Linked DNA regions of Bombyx mori. The protein of the gene in region 2 interacts with the protein of the main gene of each other region in a biochemical or structural test. Links are inferred from orthologs where the notes say so. Each region holds a gene or a part of one and is shown on either strand. Other genes may lie near its edges. The genes, in order: E3 ubiquitin-protein ligase SIAH1A and F-box-like/WD repeat-containing protein TBL1XR1.

Evidence for each region.
Region 1: the proteins of F-box-like/WD repeat-containing protein TBL1XR1 (region 2) and E3 ubiquitin-protein ligase SIAH1A form a complex in vitro, tested with the Drosophila melanogaster proteins (2 studies listed by BioGRID). The link is inferred for Bombyx mori from reciprocal best matches to the Drosophila melanogaster genes ebi and sina.

What each region holds. Positions count from the first base shown.
Region 1 is NC_085116.1:16,264,209-16,280,755, forward strand, and holds E3 ubiquitin-protein ligase SIAH1A, read right to left. Parts: upstream 10,160-16,547; 5' UTR 9,724-10,159; coding exon 8,878-9,723; 3' UTR 8,359-8,877; downstream 1-8,358. Other genes in the region: rab5 GDP/GTP exchange factor, read left to right, coding at 20-130, 1,046-1,180, 2,902-3,636. UniProt on the Drosophila melanogaster protein: E3 ubiquitin-protein ligase that is required for specification of R7 photoreceptor cell fate in the eye by mediating the ubiquitination and subsequent proteasomal degradation of Tramtrack (ttk).
Region 2 is NC_085121.1:10,764,170-10,780,996, forward strand, and holds F-box-like/WD repeat-containing protein TBL1XR1, read right to left. Parts: upstream 7,924-16,827; 5' UTR 7,727-7,923; coding exon 7,669-7,726; intron 6,602-7,668; coding exon 6,452-6,601; intron 6,267-6,451; coding exon 6,121-6,266; intron 4,735-6,120; coding exon 4,532-4,734; intron 4,344-4,531; coding exon 4,223-4,343; intron 3,845-4,222; coding exon 3,692-3,844; intron 3,581-3,691; coding exon 3,389-3,580; intron 2,785-3,388; coding exon 2,284-2,784; 3' UTR 1,169-2,283; downstream 1-1,168. Other genes in the region: tRNA-uridine aminocarboxypropyltransferase 1, read left to right, coding at 147-341, 413-1,141; probable ubiquitin carboxyl-terminal hydrolase FAF-X, read left to right, coding at 10,751-10,792, 11,553-11,682, 12,824-13,043, 13,935-14,090, 14,187-14,385, 15,529-15,684, 16,367-16,520.

The DNA.
Region 1 (16,547 bases), on a different chromosome or scaffold from region 2:
TGTGTTGTTTGTACTGCAGTGCTGTGCGGTGTCGTTCATCCAGAATATGACGGCGGAGTCTCTGAGCATGGACAAGAAGGAGTTCGACTGCTACATGGCGATGCCGGCCTCCATAGGCGGGAGTGCCTGGGTGAGGATCCATTTTTGATTAAATTAGTCACTCGTTATGTCCCGGCCCTTTCTGGTGTTATCTGGCGGCAGGAGTCCGTGCGACAAGTATGCTTTAGTCGACGAGGTTCTTTAGGCGATGCATCCTTTACGAATTCTACCTGCGAATAAAAGCAGGCCGCGACTTTAAAAAAAAATTTTTTTAAGTATATTCTTAAGTATAGTTACACCAAGGGTACAAGACCGCGTACAAGATCACCGTTACTATAGACCGACCAAATAATGGCAGCTCTAAACGGTCCCATTAACGAGTGCACAAGAAGGGCCGCGGTACACGCGGAATGGAGACTTCTGGTGAAAATCACCACCACTCGAAGTGATGACCACGACCAGACTGCCAAAAGTGCGTACGACTGAGAAGAAGAATAGTTACAGCGGCTGCCCCGCCCTTCAAACCGAAACGCATTACTCCTTCATGGAAATTGGCAGGGTGGTGGTACCTACCCGTGCGGACTCACAAGAGGTCCTACCACCTATTATTACTACCTTATCTTTTTTTTTATTGCCCTTGTAGGCAGACGAGCATACGGCCCACCTGACAGTGAGTGCTTACCGTCGCCCATGGACTTCAGCAATGCCAGGGGCAGAGCCAAACCGCTGCCTACCGCTTAATACTCTCCACAAGCCTCTTTTGAAGAAGGACATGTCATAGCGCTCGGGAAACATCGTGGAGGGAAGCTCATTCCATAACCGGATGGTACGAGGCAGAAAATACCTCTGGAAACGCACTGTCGATGAACGCAGCGGTTCCGGATAATATGGATGAACTCTGCTCCGATGGCGGGAGGTGCGATGATAAAAAGGAGATTAGGGGATCATCTCAAACAATTCCTCAGAGCACTTACCTGTCGTAATTAATTAATGTGTTCCACACCAGGCGGCCGCGCTGTCGCTGTGCGGCGCCACACGCGAGGCCGAGGAACAGAGCGCTCTAGCAGCGAAACTTCTAGAACAGACCAAAGAGATACAGAGGGAGGCCGAGAACATGGCGAACAACGCGGCTACATTTGAGGTTTGTCGCGACTTTATATAGCTAGGGGGTAAAGGGGGGACACGCAGGCGTCTATATCTGCCTCAAAGCACCGTGCGTTCCGGTTTGAGATGAAGTAAGAAGTACTATTTGAAATAAAGGAAATACAATTTATACAAGACTCAAAACGTGTTGCTTTAATTTAGAAAAGAAGTAACTTAAATGATCTATTGCATTATTGATCGTTGTTGGATGCTTGGGTTTCTTGAATAAAACTTCCAAATCGATCTTGAGCTTGTATTTTCTTTATACTAGGAGTGGGTAATATTGGTTTTGCCGCGTATCGAATCGTATCTATATATCCAGGATCAATATCGGATATTGAATCTATATATTTTCTGAATCTATATATTGATGGATGCTAGTAGATTTTCTCGATTCATGATATTTGAGATTTGAAACGATACGCTGATATAATATCGTAGTAGATATAGATTTAAGTCAACGTTATACGGTTGGTTTTCTGATATCAATATATAATATGATCTTAAAGTAATAAAAAGAACATGAAAATAAAAATATCAAAAAAAGTTTCCTTCATGCTTTTACCAGGCTTAGGACTGGCTACATTATTTTCAGTTTTTAGTATTTTGTGTCTTAATTTAAAATTACAAAATATATCAAAAGAGTGTAGATTTCAAAAGTTTAATACAAACACAAGAAATAAACTCAATTATTTGGATTCAACTAAAAATAGAAAAATGTGTACTTTAAAAATCAAACACAAAAAACTTTTAAGTATTTATAAACACTTGTCCAAAAATTCTAGTTCAAGGTCAAAGCGCGTGAAATTAAATTCAACGATGCAAATAGGCTATACTGCATTCAAGTTAGGGTCGAAAATTGAAACTTCTTTCCTTAATTGTATCCTGCTGATACGCTAAGAATAATCTACAGACATATGGACTTAAATATAAGGTTTACAATTGTATGGATAATGCCTGTTTCTGTTTCATTCATCACATGATATCCCTATCGTGCGCTCACTCACTCTGGCCGATTCGATACGAACCAAACGAATATTGCTGATATTAACGAATCGGTACGATATGCCGATGCGCATCACATCGAGCAATATCGTGTATCGGCTGATATCGAAATATAGATTTCGTGCGGGGCGATATCGGATTCAACGATATTGCTGCGATATATAGATATTGAATCTATATACGATTTATATCACCCACTCCTACTTTATACAGGTTTTTTTTTATGTTGCGAACAAGTTAGCTTCTTGACACGGCGATTAATTAAAGTGTAAATGGTGTAGGTAAACATAAATAACAATTTCAACATTGCTCCTTCAGATTTCGTAGACTTTTTTTATTGCTTAGATGGATGGACCATCTCACAGCCCACCTGGTGTGAAGTGGTTACTGGAGCCCATAGACATCTACGACGTAAATGCGCCACTCATCTTGAGATATAAGTTCTCAAATATAGTTACAACGGCTACCCTACCCTTCAAACCGAAACGCATTACTGCTTCACGGCAGAAATAGGCAGGGTGGTGGTACCTACCCGCGCGGACTCACAAGAGGTCCTACCACCAGTAAAATCCAGCGTTAACAATCGTCTTTTATTTATTGCACGTCCCCAGTCTCCTGTACATTCTACCTCCTGTATTGTGTATTCTCCTGTACAGTCTCTACTTTGATGGGTGAACGAATTCTCAGTGTCCTAAACAACACGATACTTTACAGGAACAAATCGCGAAGAAAGTTCAAGACGTTTTAGCAAAGACCCCACTGGAGATCAAACCACGGCGAGAACTGCCGCGTCTCAGACGCGAGGGCGTCGGGTCCGCGCCGCCGCCCACCACCGAGCCCGGCCCGGCGCGGACCTCAGAACCGCCAGCGCTGCTCAACGAGCCGAGCGTAGTCATCGACGAAACCGAAAAACTAAACATCTTAGGCTTCGAAGTGGTCGAGGAGCGGTCGCCGTCCAAGTCGCCGCAGCTGGACCGCCTCTCCGACCTCAAACAGAGCAGTTCAACGGAACTACTGACCCCATCCCCGATGGTCCTCACTCCGTTCGACTGCAGGTCCCTAGACGAGGTGCTGACCCCGGACGAGTTCCCGGACAACATCCCCGGACTGAGCGACGTCAATTATGACATAGACCTGTCAGATTTCAGCGCGGATACCAGTCTGGCGGAGGACCCCCCCGCCCCCGACCGCCGAAGGACCTTCGATCCATTCGCGCCTCAGACCTCAAAAGACTCGTACAAGTTGCTGGAGTCCTTTGATGAATTTAGCATCGTGGATAACGCGCGCGAGTCGGACCCCTACGAGGTCGTGCACAGGCCGGACCCGTTTGGTTCTGTTTTGGACAACGATGAGGGTAGAGCGTCCATTCTGGACGACAGCGGTTCCCCCACGGCCGCCTGCCTGCTGCCCTCACCGATACAGCCTCAAAACAGCGCGAAGCCAACTTAGTTAATTAAACAATCATTTTTATTTAAAAATATTTAAAATCCCTCAGCTTAGAATGGTTTAGTTGAGTTTCTCCTCCAAATGTAAATTTACTGGTGGTAGCACCTCTTGTGAGTCCGCGCGGGTAGATACCACTGCTTATTTCTGCCGTGAAGCAGTAATGCGTTTCGGTTTAAAGGGTGGGGCAGCCGTTGTAACTATACTTGAGACCTTAGAACTCATATCTCAAGGTGGGTGGCGCATTTACGTTGCAGATGTCTATGGGCTTCAGTAACCACTTAACAAAAGGTTGTGTAGCGAAGGGGGCCCGCATTCTGGTTCGAAGATTTGGACACAGTTGCACAACAAACCCCCATATCAGTTCAGCAATGATCATGCATTATTTTTTGAGCTTCGACAACAACTTAATAATATTAGGTATGCTGTGAGCTCATATTCTTTTGTAGACCAAAAAAATATGCTACCATTATTTCACGTTGCCTACTTGCATCAGAGCGCAATGTACCATCGCTTTATTTCTATGGACAAACAGACATACCTCCAAAACATTAAATATTCAGTGAAGTACTTTTATAAGTCTCACAAATCCAATTGTGATTGTTAATTAAAGATTAATTATTAAAGATGAGATCCTTGATAAGTTCAAAGCCAAAGTCGATAAAGTCTTAAATGAATATTTACTATTTGAATTAATCGCCTTTCGTTCAGCGGATCCTAGATACTGTTACATCTAAATAATAAAATATGAACCCACATTTTCAACATATTTCTATTGTTTTTTTTTTTTGGGAATTCAAAATGTTGCCTTAAATAGAGACCGCAATCTTGTGCGTGTTAAGTAGTGCCGAAGAAATTACGCGTTTGAAAAGTTATGACAATTGTTGTACAATACAGTTGAGATTTGAATCTGCGTCCTTAGAGTGAGTTTTTTAACGTTCTCGATAGCGTAAACGTTAACTCAAATTTGTAGAGTTGGAAGGTTTGCCGCTAGGGGCGCTGTTCCAACTGCATACTAATTTGAGTTAACTTTTACGTTATCGAGAGCGTTATAAAACTCACTCTTAAGTACATTGGTATCTTATAGGCGACGGCGGCCATATTGCTGTCTCTGATGGCTGGTTGTAACCGATCAACAAAGAGTCCGTGGGATAAAACAGAAAAAACAATGGTCCCTTATATAGGTGATATTTGTTTGAATCCTATTGTTATTTATTGCAATTATATATTATTTTTTTTAGTTTTAAGGTTGTATATGTAATTTGAAAATGAATTTAACGTTGTTCTGTCAATTTACCTTTTGTAATGTCGTTCATACGTAAAGAGCATGTTGGATGAATAAATTGGTTTTTGAAAATCATAATTTTTTATTCAGTATTGTGTAGTTTTTTTTTTAATTTATATTTTTATTGCCTTTGTAGGCAGACGAGCACACAGCCCACCCTGATGGTTGATGGTGAGTGGTTACCGTCGCCCATGGACTTCAGCAATGCCAGGGGCAGAGCCAAGCCGCTGCCTAGCGCTTTTTTATTTATTGCTTAGATGTGTGGACGAGCTCACAGCCCACCTGGTGTTCAGTGGTTACTGGAGCCCATAGACATCTACAACGCAAATGCGCCACACACCTTGAGATATAGTTCTAAGGTCTCAGTATAGTCACAACGGCTGCCCCACCCTTCAAACCGAAACGCATTACTGCTTCACGGCAGAAATAAGCGGGGCGGTGGTACCTACCCGTACGGACTCACAAGAGGTCCTACTACCAGTAATTACGCAAATTATAATTTTGCGGGTTTGATTTTTACTGCACGATGTTATTCCTTCACCGTGGAAGTCAATCGTGAACATTCGTTGAGTACGTATTTCATTAGAAAAATTGGTACCCGCCTGCGGGATTCGAACACCAGTGCATCGCTCGATACGAATGCACGGGACGTCTTATCCTTTAGGCCACGACGACTTCGGATAGTTTAACTTAGCCATCAAAGTTTTGCAACTCATTAAAGATATTAAAAAGTTAATAACCTAAAGTTAGGTACCTACTTAACAACTAAATAGTGCTAGCCCTATCAAAAACTCTATTGACACCACACGTAACCTGATTCACCTTATAGCCAAGGTGAATCAGGTCAATATAGTTCTTTTTAGTTTTTGTGTACATTTTGTAATGAACTATGTATAATAACGCATCGTATATAAAAATTTAAATATTTTAATCTCAATTTTATTGGTATTATGAAAAACCATTGAAAATTTGTGTTGGATTTGGAAAGGGTCTCGATTTTCCCCAATCTACGGTACATAGTCTGAGTTATGGGAAATGACGGGATTATCATTTACTGATGGTAGGACGTTTTGTGAGTCCATACTGGTAGGGACCACCACCCTGCCTATTTCTGCCGTGAAGTAGTAATGCGTTTCGGTTTGAAGTGGGGTGGGGCAGTCGTAGTGTAAAAACTTGGAACTGATGTCTCAAAGTGGGCGACGGCATTTACGTTGCTGATGTCTATGGACATCGGTTACTATTTAATATTAGGTGGGTTGTGAGTCAGTTCATCCATCTTAGTAATGATATATATCAATGTTTTCAACACCGTTCCCCGTGTCATGTGATATAGAAACAAGGGAGAAACGAAGTTCCACTATAGACCCGGAGCTTAGTCGATCGATAGGTCGACATTTGTCTTTAGATCGTTGTTTTATTAAAATTTATTTTAGGTTAACGATACTGTATAAAGACTGGATTATGGAAAATGATCCAGAATAGCAATTTTATAATAATCTGTTTCCAAATACTATTTGACACATAGTTGAAACAAGTATAGTTCTGAAGATGAGCACCGTGAAACTCGGTATAATGTATTTGTTTGCAATTGGATATATTTAGAAATATTCAATTTATCTGGATTCTTTTGAACTTTTTTATTATTATTTAATGCAATTAAAAGGACAGAATTAAGAAAAAAATAAATTCCAAAAATTTAAGCCACATACAATTTCACTTATAACGCCACATCTGCATATATATTTTAAAATATATTTGAAAAACAGTAAAACCACAAATAATTTGATTACATTACAAAAATTTATTTCAATTATAATTTTTATTTTACTTGACGAGATTTATCTTATGAGATACAAGATAACAGTCATTTTTCACCATTGCGCGCGTGTTGTGGAAAAATAAAACAACCTTTTTAGTTTTCCAAAATGGCGACAATTCAAACTTTAAATTAGAAGTAACGTGACCGGTGACATTTCTGCATGATTAAAAAAGTAAGTTATTACAGAAATGAGCAACAATTTGTAGGCAATGCATTTACAATATTGTACTTAACGCCCACGTTTTAAAAAATCAATCTTAAAAAATTTGAGCATGTATTTCGCTGAACCTTTTGTGTAAAATATTTGACTAAAGCGAAATTTATTGTTTTGTCGCTAGATAGATTTAATATATTAAGGTTAAATGTAATAGTGAGTGATTATTGAGACGACGAGATCCAGGTTAGAATCCCGGTCTGGGCAATGATTTCAATAATATGAAAATTTGGGGTCTGAATTTGGGGTTTTGTCGGTGGGCAATTTGATTACCCGCCGAGTGACCACCAGAGAACTATTATTGCTCGAAGCAAAGTAAAACCTGTTTTAAATTAATTTTTTAATTATTAAACATATATTCCGAATCTAGTTGAAAGTGACTTATTAAAACTCTTTATTATATGCTATTTGTATTTATGTTATGGACAATGAAAACAAAACACGGCTTACCGCAGTCGAGCGTGTAATGTTGTTATTGTCGCGGATGAGGAAAGAAGCTCGCGGGCAGTCTGACGTTAAGTGGTAATCAAAGCCATTAAACATAACAAAGTACATGCTGCCAACTCAAAAAACAATACGTTGATTTGGTGACCGTTCGTTACATAATTATTGCTATTGAATGTCAGAGTATATTTCTCCAATTAATTGTTTAAAATTAACATGGTCTTCTTTTAACTAATGAAATTTATGTTTATCATTATGAATCTAATAATGAATAATGAGTGTTATGAAAAAATAACTTTTTCGGATTCATATTTACATATCCAAAGGTTTTGTTATACGCGCCAGCATACACTCAGGCTAAACTAAGCCGTATCTTCGAAAAGTTATGATCTACTTTCAACCTACGTCTTTAATCTTTTCTATCTAAGAATATTATTGTAATCATAAGTACCGTGGGCAAGATCCAGTTCAAACTATAACCAGTCCTAAGGCATTCAATTTTGTTCAACGTATTTTTTATTTGTTTAAATAATAGGTACGTTTGTTTCGGTCACGCGTTGACCGTGATAGTTGGTTCGAGCACTGTTTACCATTCGACCCTGTTATGCAGAAAAGATCCGACCAGCATCCAGCTAAAATGAAAATGAATCAGAGGTCAAATCGTATTTTTGATATAATCTACATAAAATACAAATTAATATCAGACTACACAGCATTTATTTAGAAAAAAGTATTGAGTATGTACATTTTTTTAATTGAAAAAAAAAAAACGATTTTTTGTCATAACTTATCTGCGCGATTCGTACCTTTTTCGTAATCATTTATAATTGAAAGGTAACACTGAATTACTTTTAAATGTCAAACCAGTGTCTAAAATTCTTCGCTTAAGAACTTTTTTGTTGGTTTTGTAAATTCTTGTTAATCGAGTTTCTGCATAATTGGGTAGACTTGTAAAGCAACATCACATTTCTATTATAAATTTTATTCACTAAAAATTTTTTCATGCATTTAAAATACAAATTTGTTCATTTTACAGAATTTAAGTAATCCCTTCTTGCGATCATCATTCGTCATAATTTGTTATAAACTATGTTCACAAGGCAATTATTGAATTAGCAAGAAATAATCACTTCTGCTACTTACAACTATATTGAACACACATTTACAAAAGTTGAAAAGAAAAAAAAAACATTTTTTTGGCTTACTTTCATTTGAACAATTATATTTAAATTATAGTACAAGTCATATATACGTGAGATGGTAAGTAAATCATAAAATAATATGATTTAGAAAATTAACGATTACATTTATCTATGGACAAAGATTATTTACATTTAGAAAAAAAAAAAGAAAACTAAATAAAATTACATTTTAAAATTTGCAAATTTGTTCCAACTTTTATGTCATGTTTCGTGTAACACACTGCGTAATTATGAGTCTAATACAAGAGTTTTAGCTCACATAAATTGTAAAAAGAAACATTGGTTAGGCAATAGATATTGTGACATTTATACCAAGGTTGCCATTATCTGCAAATAATTGTGCAAGTGATGTATCAAACACCAGGCAGTCTGAGTTCATGATGGCCGATGACACTCCTTCGTGAATGGATCTAGGCATTGCCTCCCACGTTAGCCGACGCCTGTGACCGTTCAACTCCAATCGGTATGCAAAGTTTTCAGCTTCTTTACGAGATCCTATAAGTTGCACAATTGCAAAGAACTGCTGGTGACCATCAAATTTTTCTTGTTTTTCTAAAACTAACATAAAATGATGATTGAAGCATGACTGCATCATCACCCAGTCCACCGCACCGGGCAGATTGATGTCCGTAGCTAAGAACACTATATCTTCTCCTTGGAGTGTTGTGATACTTTTGTGAGACATCATTAGATGCGGCATTACTTGATCAAGACCACCTTGCCACTTGCAGGATGCCCCGGGACAAGGACAAGAGTACGGCCTGAATTCACAAGCTTCTTCATGTTCAGCTTTCTCCGTGTGCACAAGAGTCACAGTACAGCCCGTGTTAGAATGTTTACAGGGGAACATAACATTACTGGCAACCTTTTCCATTGCAAGGTTGCGAATATTTCCGAGGGGCCCGCGACACGTCGGGCAGCAGGACAGCTTGGGACGGCAGCTAGAGCACACCAGGTGCCCACTCTGACACTGTAGGATGGGGGGCAGCACATAGTCGAAGCAAACGGGACACTCAAACAGCGAGGCGAGGTCGGCAGACATGGCGGTGGGCGCGTTCACGAGGGCCGGCACTCCGGGCACTGAACAACTGGACCCACTAGCTCCACGCCGCTTGATGTTCGTGCTCATGTCACCGTTACGCGCACATAGATCACGTCCGTCGACGATCTCCCAGTCCTCCACGATTACTTCCTAAACACGCACCGCTCACTTCACTTATAGCCTTCCACGGTGGATTTCTTCCGTCTGCTGGTCGAGTTGAAGTAGATTTCCATTACAGTTACCGAGGCGGATGGCTCTTACTGTTATGTACGTCGTGATATATGTGGGCTAATCTCCATGAGAATCTAGGCGAATGATAACAACTTGTGTTTGCGAAGAGTTCGGCAATTTTTATTTTACTGCATAATTACGTGTACTGTATAGAAAGACTAAATAAAAAAGGTAAAAGTTAATAGCTATGCGAACGTTCTAGCTCATTACAAAAGGACGATAATCGTCGTAAAACTCAATGACGACCAATCGAACAAAACTCGCATGAATGTCAAGATAGCAGGATTAGCAGGTGACCATAGATTATACACTTAATATATACGAGATAGATGCGCAACTCTCATTTTTATTTTTGCTTTAGTTAAAGCCCGGTCCAGCAGGCGTCGCTACGGTCGATTATTAGTCTCCCTACCCCCCACCAGGTGGCTTTTTTAGTAATTTTAATATTTTTAATAACTCTCTTTATGAAAAAATCTTATCGTTTAGAATCGCTGAAATTCCCGGTAGTACTTATGAGATATTAAGGAATGTTTGATTGTGTTCAGCATTCTAATCGATAAGATCTTTTCATACAGAGAGAAAACAGTTTTTTAAAATAAAAAGCTGTAATTCTCTGTAAGCTATTTAATTTCCCTATATTACAAACAATTTTCTGTTAAAAGATTGTATGAACGTACAATTGTATAAAATTTCGAATAACAATAATTCCTCTAGATTAATCCTACTAGCGTACTTATTAACATTAAATCGAAAGTTATCTAAAAGTTAATTAAGTCTAGATAATCAAATCATTCTATGTCAATAAGTCATTTGTGCGAAATATAAACATGTCAGCTTTCCATTACAAACATAGTAGACAATTTGAATTAAATTAAATAAATTTGTTTCTTAACGATAGCAGTTCTTGCTTAAAGTTGATCGTGACAGATCATGATCATGATCATCTTGTATGAAAATATTACATGTATAAACACTACCTATGCTTCGTCATACAATAATTGTCATTTAAACTAGCATTGTAGAGATAATACACACACTAAAGTGAATACTAAATTATTCTTAGCATTCTTATATTTGGTAATACTAGATGAAACAAACAGCAGATTGAAAGAAAATCATCTTAAAGTTAATTACATTCATTACAAACCATTAGTTTGCATTTTGTTACAAAAGAAACTGATGTTCGTTACATGCAAATGAATTATAAACATACACATGCAAACATAAAATGTAAATTTATCTTTTAATCCAAATTAAATGTACATTAATATTACATCTAAATAATAGAAAGGGTTTCGAAAATTTTTACTGGACTCAACAGCAGACGAGCACGCAACCCGGCTCATGATAAGTGGTCACCAGTGCTTATAAACTTCAGCAGTGCCATAGGGGTTGCTGTCTATCACTTAAGTTTTAATAAATTATTAATATACTCAGTCACAAGCATATTGATTTCACATAATGAAAATGTAAGAAACATAATCATGTTTGGGCATTTTCATTTATATCTGCTCATACAGAAAACACAACTTAGTAAAAATATATTCCACAGTTAATCTAAATAATTGCAAATAATGCTTTTGAAGACCGTTGACTTTTGATCATTAATTAAAATCATCTTCTCGTAGAATTTACAAAAGGTTATTTACAAAATTTATATCAGTATTTTCATATATTACTAACTTACTAATTATAACTATTCAAACGTAATACTATAAGAACTAAACAACCTATTTTAAAACAAAATTGGCATCAATTTAGTTCTTATGAACTATTTCAATTATTAATTTATAAATTATAAACATAATTAAAAAAAATTAAGATCCTTGAGAGTTCACGTTCCTTGCTGAATCAGTTTCTCTTCTGAAACGGAGAAACAAAGTATCATAAGTATGTAACAAATATTGAAAAAATACAACCATGAAAAATTTAGTGATAATGTAATCATACTTACAAATTAATATATTACATAACACATTCTGGTTCAAATATAGTGCATCAATCTTTTCATGTTTCAGACATTTTAGTGCTCCTTATAATTTTTCCATAAAATTTTGTCATTATCAAACCTTTGTCTACAAAAATAAAAACATTATTTTATATTGGGTAGAAGGATGAACGTGGTCACAGACCACTTGGTGTAACTTAGTTATCAAACACCAGGAAACAAAACGTGAATGCCATCATCTAACTTTGGATGTGAGATCAATTGTGCTGTATTTTATTTAAACAGGAAAGCATGACTGATTGATCATTCCAAAAAACTAGTTCGGGCCCACTTGACAATAAGCATATAATACGCTGAGTTGCAAAACATAAATACTTCCACCCACTCGAGACAATTTTATTATCTGAGGTGTGTGTGTGATAGTACGAGACTTAATACCGACTGTTTTGATCAAAATTTAACATATATGATAGCTAGGCAGCAGAAATAGGAAGGACCATTAGTTGGTGCTAATTCATTTAATTATATTATGAATAATAATTCTGTTAGCAAATAATATACCGGGAAAATAGTGTAAACTCACCGTTATCAAGGCATCCGAAATAGCATTTCATTTTCGATCTTCGAGGCATGCTGATTTTTAATAATAAACTTTCTGTAAGAAATGAAAATAGTTACACAGGCTTACGAAACGCTAACGAAGAAAAAAGTATTGGAGCCAAGTTATGTCTAAAGAGAATTCAAAACAGAGTTTCTCAATGTCTAATCGTCTAATATTCTCATAAAGCTAAAAGTTGCTCTAAATTAATACTACAACGTAAAATAACTCACACCAAGACCAAAAAAAAAAACGATTTAAAAAATTAAAGCGTTACGACATTTTGAAAACTCTTTTTTTTTTTTTTGAGGTTGTTTTACGGCCCTGGAATTTTGAAAACTTCAAAGCAGTGTTTCCAGTTACGTTTTTTTTACCACATTTTACCCTAGTTTCTTTTGAATTTATCCCTAAAATTTCCTAAACAACTTTCATAAATCCTTTATATAGAAAGCATAAATAAAATACAGAAAATAAACCACAGCATATTATTTAATGTAGGTATATATAATATAAACGCCCCCAGAAGATCATAGATGTATAGGATTAGAATTTTCAAGGAAGTCGACGCATTGCTTTTATATTCTTTTGCTGCACGCAACCTAACACTGTTCGGTTCTAAAATTGAGCAATTGTTTGCTGGCAAAGTTGGGAACTTTCTATGAAGCAAGCCGTTCAGGGTTTCATTAGAAAGCCTGTTTCTTTTGTCAGTTTTTACATTTGAGAACACTGAATAATCTTTCCACCTCAGTCTTTGAAGAAGGAACTGCTAGCAAAAGTGAAATGACAATTACAAGGTTTTCGTAAATGAAATTACCATGATAATCTTTCATGGTACATGAAGTACCTGTATATTACAATACGAGTAAGTTCTGGTGACATCAACGAAAACAGGTAAATAAAAATTTGGCGGATTATACTTATTGGGATTCTGGGGAATCCCTAAGAAAAAAGCAGTGGCTTAATCTATGATTTACTTTACTAGAGGGTTACTGTTGAATCAAACCTTCTTTATAGTTTTTATACACAACTCTGTTTTATTCTTTTACTTGTCAACTCGACTTAATGTCATTCTCTCCATAAAATAAAATGTTCATTGTTTTACTTTAATTATCGTTTATTTTAAAATTCACAACAGTTACTAGTATAGGCTTTGCTTTTTACCCAGAAATATCCTAAATCCTGGAATTTTTTAAATTGTCTTTATCATCCAAAATATCAGCTATTTTTCCCTAAAAAAGAGAGAATTCCCTAAAAGTGGAAACACTGCTTCAAAGTACGCTAACCTTTTTTATTGAGTCAGAACTCGTATCTGCCATCTAGTGAGTTTATTAGTTCATTAAGGCCAAAACGTTTCAAAAATGACCTCGCCGGTTCCTAAAGATGACGCTAGTTGAATGTTCTTTTCCTTTGTATGGGAGTTGCACCCCCCTGCAGGTGACGGTGAATGAGAGTGTTGCCATTATTTTTAGTTTGGATGTCAGTCTTTTTAGCCAAAGAAGTGTAAAGTGAACGAAAAGAACAGTAAAGCATAATTTATTACGATGTTGATCAATTTTAATGATTATTGTCATCAAAATTTTTAAAATCATGATTGGCTCGATTATACCTACAGCTAGTAACCTTAAGGGGTTGGTTAGACTTGTATCACCGTACGTGATTTTATTAACTACTCTTTCCTATTCCTTCAGATTAGTATTAACTCAGTAGTACTGCAGTGGATGTAATTTATCATTGCATGTTAGGTATAGGTAATTAATCACGAAACCACCAATCAAGAATCACTAGTGGTCAACTAAATTATATTAAATTATTTTCTTTTCACTCTCCAGCTGGTGTGTATTATTTTGTCACAAATAGATACTTCCTACAATTCATGCCTTTTCTGCCTAAGCTGACATAGTTTTTGGGCTTTAAATGGGCATATAAGTTTACCTAGCCTGGTGTTAAGTGGATTCCAGTGCTCAGAAATCACTTAAGTGAATGCCTTCGAATTAATGTAATTTGGCTTCATATTAAAACGAACGCACTAAGCTTCGAGGTACAATTAAGTGGAATGGTGAAATGTTTTTTTTTTTGGAATTGAAGTCTTGCTGATGACCTTAGCTCCACCACCATGTGGGTAAGCACGGGCTCAGGATGGATGGCTCATGGATATGATTTGTGGTATGGCTACTGTTGGTGTTAGACTTATCAGCATTCAACATTAGTGGGAGCGGATCAGTTGAGGTTATCAGTATGTATAGGGCGGCTTGGACTCGAGGCTTGGAGCCTTATGCGTATCGCACTGCTGTTGGGAGGTAACCTTCATAAACTGAATTCAAATGCTTAGAGTGGATTCGAGTTTTCGTGATTTATTTTATTATTTAGATGGGTGGACGAGCTCACAGCCCACCTGATGTTAAGTGGTTACTGGAGCCTATAGAGATTATAAAGTAAACGCGATACCCACATTGAGATATAAGTTCTAAGGTCTCAGTATAGTTACAACGGCGGCCTCACTTTTCAAACCGAAGCGCATTACTGCTTCACGGCAGAAATAGGCGGGGTGGTGGTACCACCTACCCGTGCAGACTCACAAGAGGTCCTACCATCAGTAATTACGAAAATTATAATTTTGGTGGGTTTGATTACACGATGTTATTCCTTCACCGTGGATGTCAATCGTGAACATTTGTTAAGTACGTATTTCATTCGAAAAATTGGTACCGGCCTGCGAGATTTGAATACCGTTGCATCGCTAGATACGAATGCACGGGACGTATTAACCTTTAGTCCACAAAGGGTTCAAAATTTTGAAATAATTAATGTTGAAATAAAGGGCGAAGATCAGGAAAAAATAGGTACCTAGTCAAATAGAAAGTAGGTAATTTATGGCAATATACCACTGCCATTCAGTAGCTATGGATATTTATACAATATTATGTTTATCGAAACAATAATATCGGAAAGGGTGCATTAAACTCATTAACTAGTGATGTTCCGATAGGCTATTGTTAGGTATTGATATGACGATTTCAACGAAGAAACATTAACTTTCGCCTTTTTAATTTTATTAATTTTAAGCAGAAAATGTTCCTTATTTAGTATGTCTAAAAAATTGAAATGAACGTTCCCCGTTTTTACCGAGATTTTAACTAATAGAGAGATTACTCTAGAAATCTTGTTTTAAATGGTGCGCTATAGTCATAAGGCGCTAATAGCATACCTCTGAGACTCCTAAAGACACGATCCACTGAGTTTCTCTCTGAGGATCTTCTCACTAAATCGCGATTCCGATCCGGTAGTAAATTGAGCGAAGTACTGCTCTTGCTATAAAAGAGAAGAACTAGAACTACTATAGAAGAGAAGAGAAGAAGAACTTCTGCTTACAGAAGCTTACAGAAGCAGAAGCATGATCAAATGAGTACAACGTCCATACGGTGTATTCGCTGTGGTTAGTGCTATTCTCTCTGAGTATTTACGTGCATACCACAAATGATTTACCCATTTGCCAATTTGGGTCCACGATGAAATAATAATAAACGTTTACTAGTGAAAATTAATTAGTAGTAGTAATGCGTCTTTTCAGCCTGCATAAGTTTATTTGCCTAGAAGCAACCATGGGCCTCTTTAGCAGGGGGGAAGACTGTTATACAATACGGTTGAGACTTCAGCCTCATGCCTCAATGTAGGTGAGGGCATGCCTGTTGTGAACTATGTCGTTTATGGGCTCCGGTAACCGTTTAACAACAAGGAGTCAGTGAGTCCCAGTTGAAGTGCGCGACAGTCGTTATATTTGAGGTTATGACCATAATTTTCGTCTTAAGATCTGTGGCGGGCTCTGGGCTCCGACCACGGCCTGGCAAACTTAGGCCGATAGTTCGTCGGTCCATCTACAGCACTAAAAGAAATTAGAGTCTTGCAAATGACGTGTACCTAAACTTAGCTCTTTACCAATAAGCCCGTCGACAATTCTATTTGACCGACAGTTGACCTATCAATTGGTGGTAGTGATCGATCGCGCACCAATTTGGCGCGTAATGTTTGGGCTCGGCTGATTGGCTATAACACCGAAAGGACTTTTCCCTCTTTCAATTTACTTTAGTGCTCATTTAAGTTGTGTGATTCGTAATTAGGTAAATCAAATTCAAGGTT
Region 2 (16,827 bases):
ATCATTTTATATAAATATCACATATTTTTATGTTTAGATATTGTATTGTATTGTCATGTTTAAATGGTGTTACAAAATAAACAATTTAACATTGAATTACCATAGAATACGTGAAATTTATAGTTTAGCTTTATATTAAAGGAAAGATGAACCCTAAAAATCGTATCGCTAAGGCTTGTGATGACAGGCCTTTTGAAGGGTTGATAATAACAAACACTGAACCGCTTAGTTCTCTATCTAGTAGAAGTGCTTGCCCACGTTGCGGCAAGTCAAGAATGTACTTTTGTTATGTTTGCTTTATTCCAGTACCAGCACTTGAAGGAAAAATACCTTACTGTAAAGTTAGTAACTCATAAAACTAATTTCTTGGAAACAATAAATTCAGCTTAATAAATAAGTAATATTTTTGCAGCTACCAATAAAAGTGGATATTATCAAACACAAAGGAGAGATTAATGGTAAAAGCACTGCAGCCCATGCTGCTGTTCTTGCTCCACGGGATGTCACAGTGTACACATATCCAGATATTCCAGATTATCCTACTGATGGAAAGGTTGTTTTGTTGTTTCCTGGAGCTGAGGCAAAATCTGTGCGAGACTTATTCAATCAACAACAAAATCAGCCTTCATACTCAGAAATTATGTTATCACAACTGCCAGTTGGTTACAATGTTGGAACATTAATGAAAAAGATAGTTACAAGAAAAGATAACCATGAAATCTATCATGTCCAAGAATTACCTATAAATCATGTAGTTATTATTGACAGCACCTGGAATCAATGCCGTGGTATATATGCCGATAAAAGAATTCAAAAACTGCCAACCATAGTTTTGCAAAACAGACCATCTCAATTTTGGAGACACCAAAAAGGCAGTCCTAGGTGGTATCTTTCCACAATTGAATCATTACATCAACTTGTGTTAGAATTACATTTGTGTGCATGGGGTCGGAGTGAAAATTACAAATTCCACCTTACAGATTACTATCCTGTGCATAATCCAGATCAAAATCATCCTCAATGTGATCCTTATGTTGGACAATATGACAACTTATTATTCTTTTTTGTTTTTATGTATTCAAAGTTACATGAACTTTATAAACATGAAGATTTGTTAGCCTATAAAAGACCAATGTCTTGATATCCGAAAAATAAACAGGACTTGAAATATTTGTTGATTAAAATAAATTTATTTGACTAAGAAATAAATTTTTACAAAAAAAAAAACATTTTTATTAAATAAAGTTTATACTAACTACTAGATATTTATTACAGACATTGTAATACTCAATTAAAATTTTAGTAAGGCTTTGTCATATATTTTGTACTTAAATGTAAATTTTTACTGTACATTTTAAATGTTATTTTACATTTCAATTGATTATTTATGTTGCCAAACTAATTTTGATAATTAGTTATTATGACCCGATTTCTTATTGCAGGTGAGATAATGTTTTTGTGCAACTAAATATAAACTCTTATGATATTTAAACAAATAATTAGTTAAATAAAATAACAAAATACTCCAGTTTGAGAATTGCAGCCTTAAAGTCTATTTTTCAGCTGTTTATTTAAATTACCTACAGCTTTTGTCTGCTTTAGATAACAAGTTAAAAAAGTATTGAAAAAGTAAAGTTAATAAATAAACTTTAGGCTATGTTTTTTTATAAACAAAACTACTGTTAAATCACTAGAAAATAATCACGGTGACCTATCGTGAATATCTAATATGTAGTATGGAATTCTGTTAATGCCAATTGATAGACACAAAATACACCTTAAAACTATGAACAGAGCTTGCAAGTTATTTTATACCAACAAAAATATAAATCATTCACTTGAAACACTACATATTCTATGACGTAACGGAGAACATGTCATTAGTTAATTTTACCAGATATTATAAAAAATTACATTTGCGTTCTTAATTCAAAACTATTTTTAAATTACCAAAAATAAAATGATGGCGATATGCACCGCCGGTTCGAAAATTATGTGACAAAAATTACAACCATTATAACACATTTATATATTTTTCTATGCATAATTTCACTGCTTCACCCAATCTCAAAGATGAGATTTCTAAAAATATACTGAAATAATCATAAATGTTGATTATACCTGCAAAATTACTTTTGGTGATTGAAATCTAGTGCATTATATTATTTAGTTCCAATAGCACAACACACTTTACCAATTATTGTAATATCATCAATGTCAAATTCATGTTCCAATGCCACAGCACCACCTCATATAAAGCTATGAGGTTTATATTTGTAAGTCTCAAAGTTTACGAAGATCTAACACAAATACACTGCCGTCACTAGCACTGGCTCCCACTTTGGTACCACGAGAATTCCAGCATACTTCAAAAATACCACCAGTACCTTTGTAAGAATGTACAAGGCTTCCAGTTTGTGTTGACCAAATGTGAACACACTTGTCAAAAGAACCGCTTGCCAAAAACTTACCATCAGGAGAGAATGCAACACTGTAAACTGGTTCAGTGTGTTTTGTTAGTGTGTGAATACAGACACCTTTTTCAACATCCCATAAGCGGACGGTTGAATCAAATGATGCACTAGCAAGAATTAAATTCATGTTAGGATTCTGTGTGCCTGGTCCAGTTGGTGACCATTTGATAGTATAAATCTCTTTTGAATGTGCTTGCAAATCATGAACCCAGGTATCTTGCTTCATTGACCAAATTTTAAGAGTCATATCATCAGAACAAGATGCAAGTAGCTGTCCTTGTGGGTCCCATTTTATTGCATTAACCTCATTCTGTAAAAAATACATTTTTAATTATAGTTTCTTTTATTTCTGTCAAAAGCAAACGAGTGCAGGGTCCACAACATACTAAGTGGTATGAGAGATTAAGACGTGAATATTTGCGTCCGCTCTCAGACTCCAAGTCGTCGTGGACTTAAGGATAATAAAGATGCATTCGAATTGAGCGATAGAGTGTGCCAGTGTTCAAATTCCGCGTCAAGGTACCAATATTTCTAATGAAATACGTCCTTAACAAATTTTAATGTTCATGATTGACATGATTCACAGTTCACAATTCAACATTGTGTGATAAAAATCAAATTAGCAAAAATTATAATTTTCGTAATTATTGATGGTAGGGTATCTTGTGAGTCCGCAATGGTGTTTACCACCTGTGTATTTCTGCCATGAAGCAGTAATGAGTTTGGGTTGGAAGGTTGAGGCCATGTCTATGGGCTCTGGTTACCACATTACGCCAGGTAGGCAGTGAGCTCATTCACCCATCTAAGCAATAAAAAAAGTACGTACTTAACTCACACTAATTAATGTATGTGGTTTTTTAACCAAAGGCAATAATAAAATAAACAATAAAATGAATTTTGAAGATTGTACTTACGGTGTGTCCTTGGAAACTTTTAATTGGTTTGTCAGCATTTAATTTACAAACGTGTATACACTGGTCAGTAGAACATGAAGCAAAGGATGTATTTGTCTGCCAGTCTACATCTAGTGCTGGTGCTAAATGGAATGAGAATTGTTGGGTACATTGACCTGTTGAAGCATCCCATATAATCGTTGTTTTATCAACCTAAAATAATTATTATGTCAATTCTAAGCTTATTTTTACATAACTTACTCTAATGTTTTATGATAACTAAAAAACATTTTTTTAATATATAAACTTATAAATCTGTAGTACCCCTGCACTAAGGATGAAATTTCCTCTTTTGTTCCATTTGAGTGCAAATATAGGTCCCTTGTGTTGACCTAAAGTCGATGCTAATGTACCATCTGTAGTCCAAATTCGAGCATAACCATCATATGATCCAGTTGCCAAAAGATTTCCATCGCACTATAATAAAAAGTTAAATATTATTATCATATTATTTCTTTAATTCAACTTGCAATGTCCCTAAATTAATCATATTAAATAAATTAGAAAATAAAAAAAATTTCTTTTTATGCACATCAGAGTGAACAATCTCATGCCCACTTTGTGTAAAATTATTACTGGAGCCCATAGACATCACCCGGTGACTGTAGCCACCTGTGTTGAGGTACAAATCTCGATGGCATTGTGTAATGGCTATTCCACCCCGGAAATCGGAATACATGACTACTTTGCGGCAGAAATAGGCAGGATGGTGACGCTTTCTGTGGGCTCACAACGCATGCTTTTTTTACAAATAAATGAATGAATAAGTATTAATTAAAAAGCTTGTAAACTTACATTCCAGTCCAGTGAAGTGACATCTTTGTTACTTGGTACTTCAGTACCTCCTTTTTGAATACAGTGTCTGAGTACTAGTTGGTTTGGAGTAGTTGTTGGGTTGTCAGACATATCCCAAATTCTGTATAAATTTAAGTAACATTATTATTTTAATTTGCAGTACATAGGTGTACTGGTTATTTTTGTTTGAAAACAATGTAAAAGCTTTCAATTTTACAGCTTAAATTGTTCAATTATTGAATTATTTTAATGTTAAATTACTATTCTACACTAATTAGTATAATAAAAAAATTATTTTAATCAACTTACCTAGCTGTACTATCACCTGATCCACTGGCCAGTAAATCCGTGCTTGGGTTCCATGCACAAATAAATACTTCAGATTCATGACCTCTTAGTACAGTAGCTTTGTTTGCTGGAATTTCAATTGATGTGTCCATGTCCATAGGCACGGGTATGTTTGATGCTGGTGTCTCAGCACTTGCTGCAGCTTGTGCACTGCATGTTGTACCCTTTAAAAATATTTAGAAAATAATACACAGGATCCCTATATCTTTGTGTACATCATAACAAGAGTTGTAGGTGAACCTTAATGTAAATGTAAAATTTAATTTATAGCTAATTTAAAAAATATGCATATCTTTGAACAAGCTCACAGTCCCCTGATATAATATTTGGAGAGCACTGTGTCCCATTCTATGATTGTTGGTGTTTACTAAACTCATGGGTAGAGATGGGGTGTTGCTATTCTAGATTGGTTTCACAAAGCAGAGAATAAATGGGTTTTATTTTTTCACTCATAGTAAAGCAAAGGAAGTTGACAAGTAATCCCAGTTTTCCCAGAAACACAGGATTCAATCAACTAAATCGGCTGTCAGCTCATTTGTTTTGTTATATTACAGGCATTACAAATTTGAAATAATAAAATTTTGTATTATATCTTTTGTTATTTTTTTAGGGACCAGTTGTTACACTGGTGGTAGGACCTCTTCAGAGTCCGCGCGGGTAGGTACCACCACCCTGCCTATTTCTGCCGTGAAGCAGTAATGCGTTTCGTTTTGAAGGGTGGGGCAGCCGTTGTAACTATACTGGAGATCTTAGAACTTATATCTCAAGGTGGGTGGCGCATTTACGTCGTAGATGTCTATGGGCTCCAGTAACCACTTAACACCAGGTGGGCTGTGAGCTCGTCCACCCATCTAAGCAATAAATAAATAAATTTTAGAAAATTATGACAATTGACACATACATACATGCCCATGTTTAAACAGATTAATTCTAAGATCTTGATAATTCTAATCTAGTGTCTTAGTTACTTAGTACTTGTGTCTTTGATGTTTTTAATTGATGATACTACCAAATAAAACTCACATTAGATTCCAAAAATAAATTTTGTATATTAAGCAAAATGTCACTTAAACCAAATAGCCTTTCATCTCTTGATTTGTAAATATAGGGAATTTAAAAGGAAAATTAGGCAACAGACCCAACACAGGGATTAAAGGAGCAAGCAAGAATTCAATCTACTGTTTTATAGAGTGAAGACTACTTTTAGTACCTTTGTACTACTGTACTGTTTTTACTAGTTATATTTTATTTTAATTGTTTGCAATTTTCAATCAGAGATACCCGAGATACTTTAAGTTCTACATTTATGTCAACACTGGAACGTATGTTAATAAAAAAATTATCCAAATGGCCTTGATGGGTTTTCTTCAGGACATGTGTAGTAAGTAATGACTCGGAATAAATCTATTGGTGTTTTTATTTATTACATCTATCTATTTAATTGTAAATTGTGATAATGTATCCTTACCACTACATGATAGTACCACTAATTAGTAATAATGTATTTAAATCACAAATAGCATTACAAACAACAAATAAAAAAAACATACATCAACACCATTTTGTTCGCTTCCAGATCCCTGTTCTGTTTTGGCAGCTTGTTTCTGAGCATTGTGAGCATTTTGTTTAGCTGCTACTACATCTGGAGTAACAGCATCAATCAAGCTGAGGCTTTCTGTGAGACGATTTTCAGTTCCTAGAAGAAAATGTTATAGAATTTAGGCTCTTATTTAGTATTATAAACTGACAGGTAGGCACCAACAACCTCCATGTTCCAGTCCAATAGGTAAGATAATTTCATGTGATGCAAGTAACATTGTTATTTGGCAAATAAGTGTGGAATGATTAACTCATGAATCATAATCATGTTTTGTTACTTACCATTATCGCCTAATGTTATTTCCGCTGCAGTGTATTGTAATCCTTTTTGTATAATATTCAATAATGCTGCTGGAGGAACAAGAGCTCCGTTAATGTTACTTTGTGATATGTGTGATTCAATTCCAAAAGAATATGCTGAATGGTGGAAACCTAGAAAAAAATATTTAATTCATAGGTAGAATTAATATTCCTATTTAATAACAACAAGTACAGGCCTAATTTACATAGTACATATTGTATTATGCCCCTACTACCTATCTTGTATATTCCTGCCATGCAGTCACACATATATTAAGTATGCATAATGGTTTGTAGGGTTATTATTTAATATATGATTACATTTTATAATTTCAATAGAATTTGGACAGTAAATGTGCCTGTAATATTATTGAAAAAATAATGAGCATGGCTGGGGTTACCCACTGGTGGTGGAGTGTCTTCTGAGACCACATAGGTACGTACCACCACTATAAATATATTCCTGTTTCAAAAGCGGGATAGCTGTTTTACTACACAGTGGAGACTCCTCATGTCTTAAGCTAGATTTTGGCATTCAAGCTGTGATGGCTGTGGGTTCAAATAATCACTTAACACCAAGTTTATAACTTTGTGTGTTTTATGTTATCAAATAACAAGTGTGTATTGCAGTATATTGTAAATACATATTAAATTAATTTTTACCAGATCACATTGTTTTGAATTTAATTGTAAGAGTAATTTTAGAAACCTACCAACTTCACAAATTTAAGCCTCCAACCACTTTGAGAGATGGTTGCAGTCTTGTTTAAAGGCTTTACACTATTGAAACAATATAACAAAACAGCTTTACAGTAATAATTAAGGGCGGTGATAGCAGCCCGTGTCAATGACGAGGAACGATTTTTGCATGTACTCCATACATAAATAATAGGATATATTTTAATATTCATTCATGTGATTTTGCAATACACATTTATCAGAACATCTTATACAGTATTTAAAGGGTAAATTATAAACAAGAATTATTGCATTAAATGTGTACAATTCAAAATTCCAGTGTTTCTATAAAACCGATTGATCAACAATGTGACAGGTTGTTTATTTCATAAACTGCCTATATTTTAAGTTTCTATAGCCTATGTATTTTTTGCGGTTTCTGTATTTTGAAATTCTTCAGCCACCATGAGCTTGGTTTCACGAAAAACCAAGCTATTTCAACAATGTATCTATTACTTTACCTGACTCTTGTAAGTAGCGGTACACAAGAAAGTTTACTTCGTCACTAGTAAAACTCATTTTGCATATCAAATGGTAATCACAACAATAACATATTATCAGTAGTAGCCTGTAGTAACTACTTTAGGTCAGTTTAGGTAGTATGTATTTGTAATTTACAGAAATATTATTCGATTTGAAAAATAAACTCGATAGGTTTACATCAAATATAAGTGTATAATCTATGGTAGGTACTCTGAATCACAGATTATTAAACTGAATTTTATGAATGCTAAGTCTATTAAATATAGCTTACTGAATTTGGCCCCTTTTTTTTCGGATTTTTTTGTTTTTAATTATTGAAGTGAAACTTCCTTATCGGCGTTGGAAAAAAATTTACCGTCACATTTTTCGGTTACGCGTCACATTTTTCCGTTACGCGCCATCTGTTTTGTATTCATGTCTATGATAATAAAATCCTTTTGTTTAAACTTTATCTAATTTAACTTTTTTGTATTCATGTCTATGATAATAAAATCCTTTTGTTTAAACTTTATCTAATTTAACTTTATTTAACCAATTTCTAGGAAGTTGCATGTAGATCATTTTTCGAAAAATAAGGCCATAAATAAGTTTCACTTCTTACGTGTGTACACTAGTACACGCACACATTTTTTTGTTCGTGGTTTGTCCGTTAATGTTCGAATGTAAAAATTGTTTGTTTGTCTTTTATTAATTTATAATTAATTGAACAAATGATCACCCTTAAGTTGGCCTCTCTTACTAGATATCTTTATTTTTATCGCTTAGATTAATTAATTTTGATCAACTATCGTTTGTTCGACAAGTATTAGTGATTGCTCGATCATAAGAACAATTAAATTCCCAATTATTAATTATTTTATATCTAATAAGCAAACCATCGCATCGTCTCACGCCACCTTTTTATTAGATACATATATATAGAATACAGATATATAGAATTAGATATTCGTGGAGATAGCAAGGAATCATCTGGACGTACATCAAGCGAACTTCCAGCTAAAATTACTTTGAAAGCTCACATTATGAATGCAATTGATATTGACTCATGTTACCGGTTAGTTAACCTTATTTTATATTATTTTTACGTGTATGTATTTAGAACTAAAAATTATTATTCCATCTAAATTTTCAGATTGTCTGGAGTAGCAGCTTATGATGTCGATCACCAATAGTTGTCGAACAAACGATAATTGATCAAAATTAATTAATCTGAGTTATAAAAATAAAGATACCTAGTGAAGGAGGCCAACTTAACGGTGATCATTTGTTTAATTAATTATAAATAAATAAAAGATGAACAAACAATTTTTGAATTCGAATATTAACGAACAAACGACGAACAAATAATTTAAAATTAAAAAAATCCGAAAGTAAAAAAAGGGTGCTAAATTCACTGAGCCTCATAAATCATAGGTCTTTCAATATTGTAAAGGTTTACCTACTACGATTGTATTTTTTTGTCTCAAATATTAAGTGTGTCTATGTTTCAACTTTCAATGCATAATCTGTTATAATCTATGTTCGACAGTTACGTCAAAAGTGTTAGTGAAATCATTGTGAATTATTTTGGATTTTCTAGAATTAATACATTTGCTGAGAACGAAGGTAAAATCTTTGAAATTAATGCGATTCATTCACATTTCTCTTTCATACTTATTGCAAAAACAGAGATTTTGCTTTGTTCTGTATATGATTTTGACGCCATTTTGTAGCGCCGGCTGATTTCTAGAATTATAAATTTGCGATTTTTAGCCTTTGTAAGATTGAGTATTTGTAGTTTACAGTTAACCAGAAAAAAAACCTGCGCTGCGAAGCAAGCTCCAAAAACGCATTTATTATAAAGTTCATTAATTCGCAAATTCAATAGATAAAAAATATAGTTCTATTGAAATTGTAAGTCATTGAAGAGTTTGTCTACATACTATAAATAATTAGAATGTTGATGTGTGATATATGCAGGGTGGCCCAATTTTAGTAAGATAAAATCCAAGAGATTTATAGGTAAAATAGGAATTACTTAAAATCCATGTAGTATTATTACCATAGTACTTTATGTCTTATCAGGGAAAATATGAAAAATATTCATGTTACAATATTATTATATTTTTGAAGGTATATTTGTGGTATTGAGTAAAAACAAATCAATATGGTATTAAATTGTTTTTATAACACATTCTTCTCTTACGTGAAGCAAGCCTTAATGTAGAAATTAAGATAACTTAATGTCAATTTAACATTGCAGTCTTTTGCATTACTTCAATACTGTACAATTTGTTTGTAAAAGCAATGTTAAACATAAATAGTATTATAAAATTTGTTTAGGACTAGTAAATATAAAACATATGGGCATACACAAAGAAAGAAGCAGAAAATTATGTTTTGGGAATAATTGCAATTATTTTCAATCAGTAAAAGCAACTGTAATGAGCACCATTCTAGAGTTCGTAATGAGAATATACTGGCTTATGATAAAATGGGATCATTATTCATTTACTAAATTAAGCATAAATACTTATTGATTAAGATGGGAATATTTTGTGAACTCGTAATTTAAGGCAAGACTATTAGGGAGCACTTCCTCTCACTCTCTTGAGGCACCGTATTTTAGTTGATTCTTAATTTGGTGACGGAATGCAATGCAATAAATTTACTGATGTGGTGTCTTTTAATCAAAATGCAAGTTTTGAAATGAAACATTTTGGTGTTTCTTTAAACCATTATATCCATCAACTGTTTCATTTATTTTTGGAAAGAATACATCTCTTTTAGAACAAAATTGTAGCTAAATGAATAATATTTCTTAACTGGTATTTACAAATAATAACTACTTACAATAAAAGTAAAAAGAAGAAATATTTAATAAATAAAATTATCAGAGGAAAAGAAAAACTTGTCTTGGATTCATCAAAATATATGATATTTTGCATATCCATAATATAACAAAGTTTATAATGGGAAATAATTTTGTCCAATGTTGTGTTGTTTCTTTAAATAACTAAGTAAAGAAAAAGTAAATTTAAACAAAATTACAGGTAATGCAATGAGACAGCGTTTCAAATAATGACTATAACCATGAAAGAACAAGACCAGATGCCTGGGGAGGTAAAAATATTATTTCATTTAAATGTAAAGTTATACATTTTATTAATTAACAATTTTTGAATAATTTGTTGTAAAATTAGATTAGACGCACCATAATTTATATTAAATCTGTCAGAGGTAGGCAATATAAGGCAATACAGATAGTATGACCTCTAGTCTCTAGTTATATAAATATTAATTTTAGACTCTTATGGCTGACTTTTAATATTTTTTTGTAATTTTCTGTTAATAACTAGTGAAATTCAGCGACGGCGGGTGATTGTTTAATAAATCTATAAAAAAAACCTATCATTCTCCTGTTGGTAAAAAGTCTAGGTCCAGTATAGATTTTGAACAAAATTGGACAAAAGACGTGCAAGTGCATAGTTGTATGAATTTTTTTCTTGCTCTTATCCTACTATGTGGGATCATTCTGGCATATCGTACGTCATGTTTGCACTCACACAATTCATCTGAGTCTTTTTAGGATGCCCCTCCTCATAGCTGTATGAATATAAATATATTAAATATCCAATTGTATGTCTTAAGTTAAGACGTCAGATTAAGACGACTGGAATCTAGCATCAATGTCGCTATCCACGCGCAGAGGACAGGAGTGAATGGAAGAACATAGTCCTAACAAAAGTCCTCTGTAAAGGTCACGACCCTCAGCACTGAGGAATACGACGCACGGAGGAGGGATGTCTTAAGTTATAATCTCATACGGTTACAGATGTTACGTGATAATTTATATAAACTAATCAAATTTTATATTATTTAGATGGCATTCCCTGAGGCGAAATTAAAGGCACTGGAAGACAAACTTTCACATCCCCGTTGGGTTGTACCAGTGCTGCCAGAACAAGAATTGGAAGCTCTTCTAGTCGCTGCAACAGAACTAGCTGCAAAAGGTTTAATTTTTTTTCTTTTCACTATTAAACTGAGAATCCTTGATGCTATTAACATATCTAGCTATCAAGTGGAAACTCATAAGTTCGTTCCGTTGAACTATTGTTACTGTTTCCACGAGGAAGGAGACCTTTACTATAAAGAGATGTCATCATTTGTTCATAGTCAAAGTCTCCTCATCCACCAAACCCAAATTTTCCAAGATTTCAAGTTAAAGAACATCGAGCCAAATATATCAAGCAACCAATAAAGTAGAAAGCAGGAACATTAAACTTAGAGAACAAATTATTAAATAATTTCGAGGAAAAATTATTAAATTTGCGTTAGAGAGGACTCATGGCAATGGGCTCTGATGACCACTGAACACCAAGTGGGCCATGAGCTCATTCACACACGTAAGCAATAGAAGAAAACAGAGCATGTGGTGAGAATTGCATTGAATAGTGAATTGGATCCCGCGCTTTTTGGATGGACGGAGCATCCTTTTTTATCTCTACCTAAACGTTGGTAGCCCAAAGGGCTATTCTAACTACAGGCGGACGAGTAGTTGAGCTAACGGGCTTAACCTAAGAGAATTTGCTAACAATAGCCCTAGCAAGACCAGTGCTTCGCAGAATCTACCACCGGATCGAAATTACGACCCACTGAGAAGATCGGACGAGAAACGCACGCAGTGATTTGTCATGGACTAGTTCGCTAGACGAATTCTTCGTCGTAGTTAACGAGTTCGACGGAAACTTTATGAAAACACCTTAAATGTGTTAATTGCAAAAGCAAACTACATATATACCTTCTCTAAAACGCGAAAATTTCACTGGTTGGAAAAATATACTTCAAGAATTCCATAATTAGTCAATCAACTCCATAGAGATGTTTGTGTAGGAAAGATTTGAAAGGACTATTTATTATACTTCTTTAATCACAAATTTCGTCAAAACTACACTTTAGACAAATATTAATAAAGAGAAAACAATATTTATCTATTCTCAATTTGACAGACATTTTTTTTTTTTTTAATTTTTTAAAAAGTACATGTTATTGAAATGAAAGATTAATTCATTTGAATTCAAACCTGTCTCTTAATTTGTAGGTTTGATAATTATTATCAGATAGAGAGTGTAATACAAATTATTTGCTTAACAGGAGAAGATGTACACAATGCGGCGTGTCAGAAATTTTACACTGATGCTCTCACAATATCTTTTACAAAGATATTAACAGATGATGCAGTATCATCGTGGAAAAATAATATACAACAGTGTGTAAGATCCAACTGTGAGAAGCTAGTCAAGTTGTGTGCTCTTAAACTTGATGATCCCAGATTTTTGCATCTATTGACTATGACATTAAACCCCAGTAACAAGTAAGATTTTTATTTCATAAATTATGAAAAAAACTCATTCCTGAAATAAGTGTTTTTTAATTGCCATACTGTCATACTGATTCATAGGTATAGAATCGGTGTTAAGAGGTTAACCGAACCCAAAAAGATAAACGATTCACCTACCCGTCAAACTGGAAAATTTGAATTCTTCAAGGTTGCAATATGTAAATAGAGATGCCAAAGCCGAAAAGGGATTGATGTACTAACATTAACTAAGCCGAAAGCACTGTTTGCAGAGCGTAATTATCCTAGTAGTGCTTGAACATCAAGTAATAGTAGTGTATTAATGTTGTCCAGCGTCTTGTACAAACCTATCACATATATAATATGATTTACTTGTTGCAATTACTCTAAACATTAATCTCAAAAATATTTCATACATAAAAGATATTTTCTTTAAAATATAAGTTCCTAATAATAAGTTTAATATAAGTAATAATATGGCTTAAGTGCTCATTTAACAACATGAGAATATTCACTAGATTAAAAGATTTCAGCTTAGTACAAATATGTATGTTTTTTTAAGATCTTTCTTTTTAAGAGTTTTCGTCTTCAATTAGACTTAAAGGTAGAGAGTTTTCTATGCAAAATAGGCGGTATTCAGACCCCATAATCATATTGTAAAGCATGTTTAGTACTTACTATGCCTGGTTAACTAGTCATCCGATCCTGCTGTGGTTGGTTTGAGTTTTGTAAAATCTTAATACACATAACATGTGGTCACAAACTGCTTCTATTGTGAACAATAATGCTTTTAATAATACATGCCAACAGAAAATAAAAGGATGGCAGTTGTTGGTTAATTCTACCCAAAACCATATTAATTTATTACTTTATTTAAGAAAATTATATTACTAAAAATATTCTCAGGTTTCATATGTTCAATGCATCGCGAACGAGCGAGGGCCTTTCGGTGACATCAAATACCACTGGTACAGGTCAAGGGCCTTCTCAAGACATAGAAATTTTTGCTAGGTCTCATGATCATCGTACTCCTAGGGGGTGGCTGGTCCATCTAATTAATGTGTAAGTAGTAAGCGCAAGCAGCTTTAATAAAAAATGGAACAAATCAATTATTAAAAGAATAGAAAAGTTTTAGAGGTTTTGTTTAAATTTTTATAGGTTTGGTCAAGCAGGCGGCTTTGTGAAATTAAGGGAGAGGTTTGAAGAGATAATGGGTTTTCAAAAGTCTGATCTCAATTCATCTATGAATACAGAAGAAAAGGTATTGTCTGAGATGATGGAAAAAGAAAGTGATGAGAGCAAGACATCTAACACCAATTGTATTGAACCAGTTCTTGTTATTGGGGAAAACAGTGATGTAAGTACTAATTTAAAATTATTTTAAAATCACTAGTAATATTCGGTCGTACATAGCTAGCTGTAACTGTTGCTAAGTCCTTAGCAGTAGGCAGCGGCCTGGCAGAATCCCTGGTATTGTTGACGTCTATAAGCCATGGTGATTACTTACAAACAGATAAGGGCTGTATGTTCTTTGTACTATAAAGGAAATAAAATAAAAAATGTGTGTGTGTCCGCTCCGACGCACGACTGGAGTTTACTGGATATAAAAAATTAAACGAAACAATACGAGAAATAGTTCTATATTACGACAACACGATACACTACAGATTATTAACAAATTAACGAGACACAAAACAAACGACTAACAAATATATGAAAATACAATAATGAGAGAAACGCGCGATCAGTACGAGGCTTTGTGGCGGACTGCCGGCGCAGCAGCCCGGCGTCACCTGCAATAACGCGGCCGCGCGTTGGCTCCTGATTGGCGCGCGCACGCATCACGCAATCAGGAGCCAATCAGGCGCATAACGCATTTCGTGTGACATGCTAGTACGATTTTGGTCCCCATAATTTTCATACCCCGGGCCTATATATGTAAATCGATTCTAAAGGAGTAAACTCCAAAAAACTGCCCACAAAAATAACCAAATATCCTTAAAAAACATATTATAGCTTTACACTGTATGCTTATAACTCGTCACTGTGATTTACGCCAAAAAAATCGTGATTGTAAAATTAAAATTATTATTTAAATTAAAAAACGATAATGTGACCTGTACCTGATGTATGTATGGAAATAACATACAAAAATTTAAAAAGGAAGCTGCATCACATTTTGTTCCACAGCATATTCCTGTTATAGTCTATATATTTTTTATTATATTGCTAAAATGCATGAACGAGCTCATGGCCTACCTGCCGTGAGTTACCGGAGCCCATAGACATCAACGAAATAAATGCCGCCACCCACCTTAAGACATGAGTTCTAAGCCTCAGTTTTTTTTACAGTAAAACAGCTGTCCCACCCTTTAAACCGAAGCGCATTACTTATTCACGACAGAAATGGGCAGGGTGGTTGTACCTACAATATATAAAACTGTTGAAATGTGAACATTTTTTTATGTTGTTATCTTTTTTATTTCCTCTTAATTTTCAGTCAATGACACAGTCTCGTAACGACCAACCTTCATCATTAGAACAGTCTACAACTGAAACAAGAGTCACAGAGGTCTGGCATTTATTACGCCCTCTTGGTGTCTGTCATGATCTTCTCACTGCACATACTGTTACAACATACTTATTACCTGTGCTTGTAAGTATTACAAATGAGCTCATTGAGCTTAGTGTCTGATTTGTATGGGCTCAAGGTTAACAACCTTGCCAACATTAAAAACCAAACCACAGCATAGTCAATTGGTTATGGGTATACCAAGCTTCTTACTTATTTGGCAATAAGGAGATTAGACTTTTGGATGGTAGAATCTGGGGATGCTTGTGACATGACTTAGGCTGGCTCTAGATATGTTAAGGGTCTTATCTCCAATCTTTTTCTGATTTGTTCTGTTACTTTCCATATCGACGCTTGAAAGCCAAACGTGACTAAGCGACAATAACTGCTTTGTACATAAATGATAGGCAATAACCATATTCGATGTGCAAAAAAAAAAAATTTCTAGATCTATTAAAATCATTTCAATCCTACAGCTAGATTCGTTAAAATATAATTTTTTTCAGGTATTTTAACTTTAAATAAAAGGTCTACTGTAAAGTTCACGCATTGTCGCTTAGTCACGTTTGCCTTTCAAGCGTAGATATGTTTGCCTCATTGCCTAGAAGTCTTATCAATAGTAGTGGCAGATTTTTCAGCATTAAAAAAAATCCTCAGTCTTTGAGAATCATTCCCAAGACAATAATGTAAAAACTTTCCTATATCAATACCGCCTTAGAATTACACTATTTGTAGATTTTTGTGAAGCAATATTTATTTATTTTAGGAATGCATACCAACGTTGTTAGAAAGTTTATCCGACGAAGAATTGAAGAAGGAAGCGCGAGGTAGTGAAAATAAGACTGATACCGTTTCCTGTTTGATTAGGGCTTGTAAATATGTTTCTGCAAAAACACCACAACATCATAGTCTTCTTAAGTGTAAGTATTTAATGTGTTTAGTAATTTATTATGTTTTATCATTTTGAAATTAGAAATGAATTAATGAATAAGAATTTTAGTACATTAATAGCATAATATGCTGTGTAACTATCGCCGACATACACTTTTTAAGTATTGTGAATATTAGAATTATTAAATTTTACCATTAAAGAATAAGTATTTTATGTTTTTGTACTTTGAATGATTGTTTAAAATTTGTATGACTACTGAAAGCTATAAACAATATCCCCGTTCTAGATTAATTTGGGACATTTAATAAAACTGTAAATAGGACATAGTTGAAACA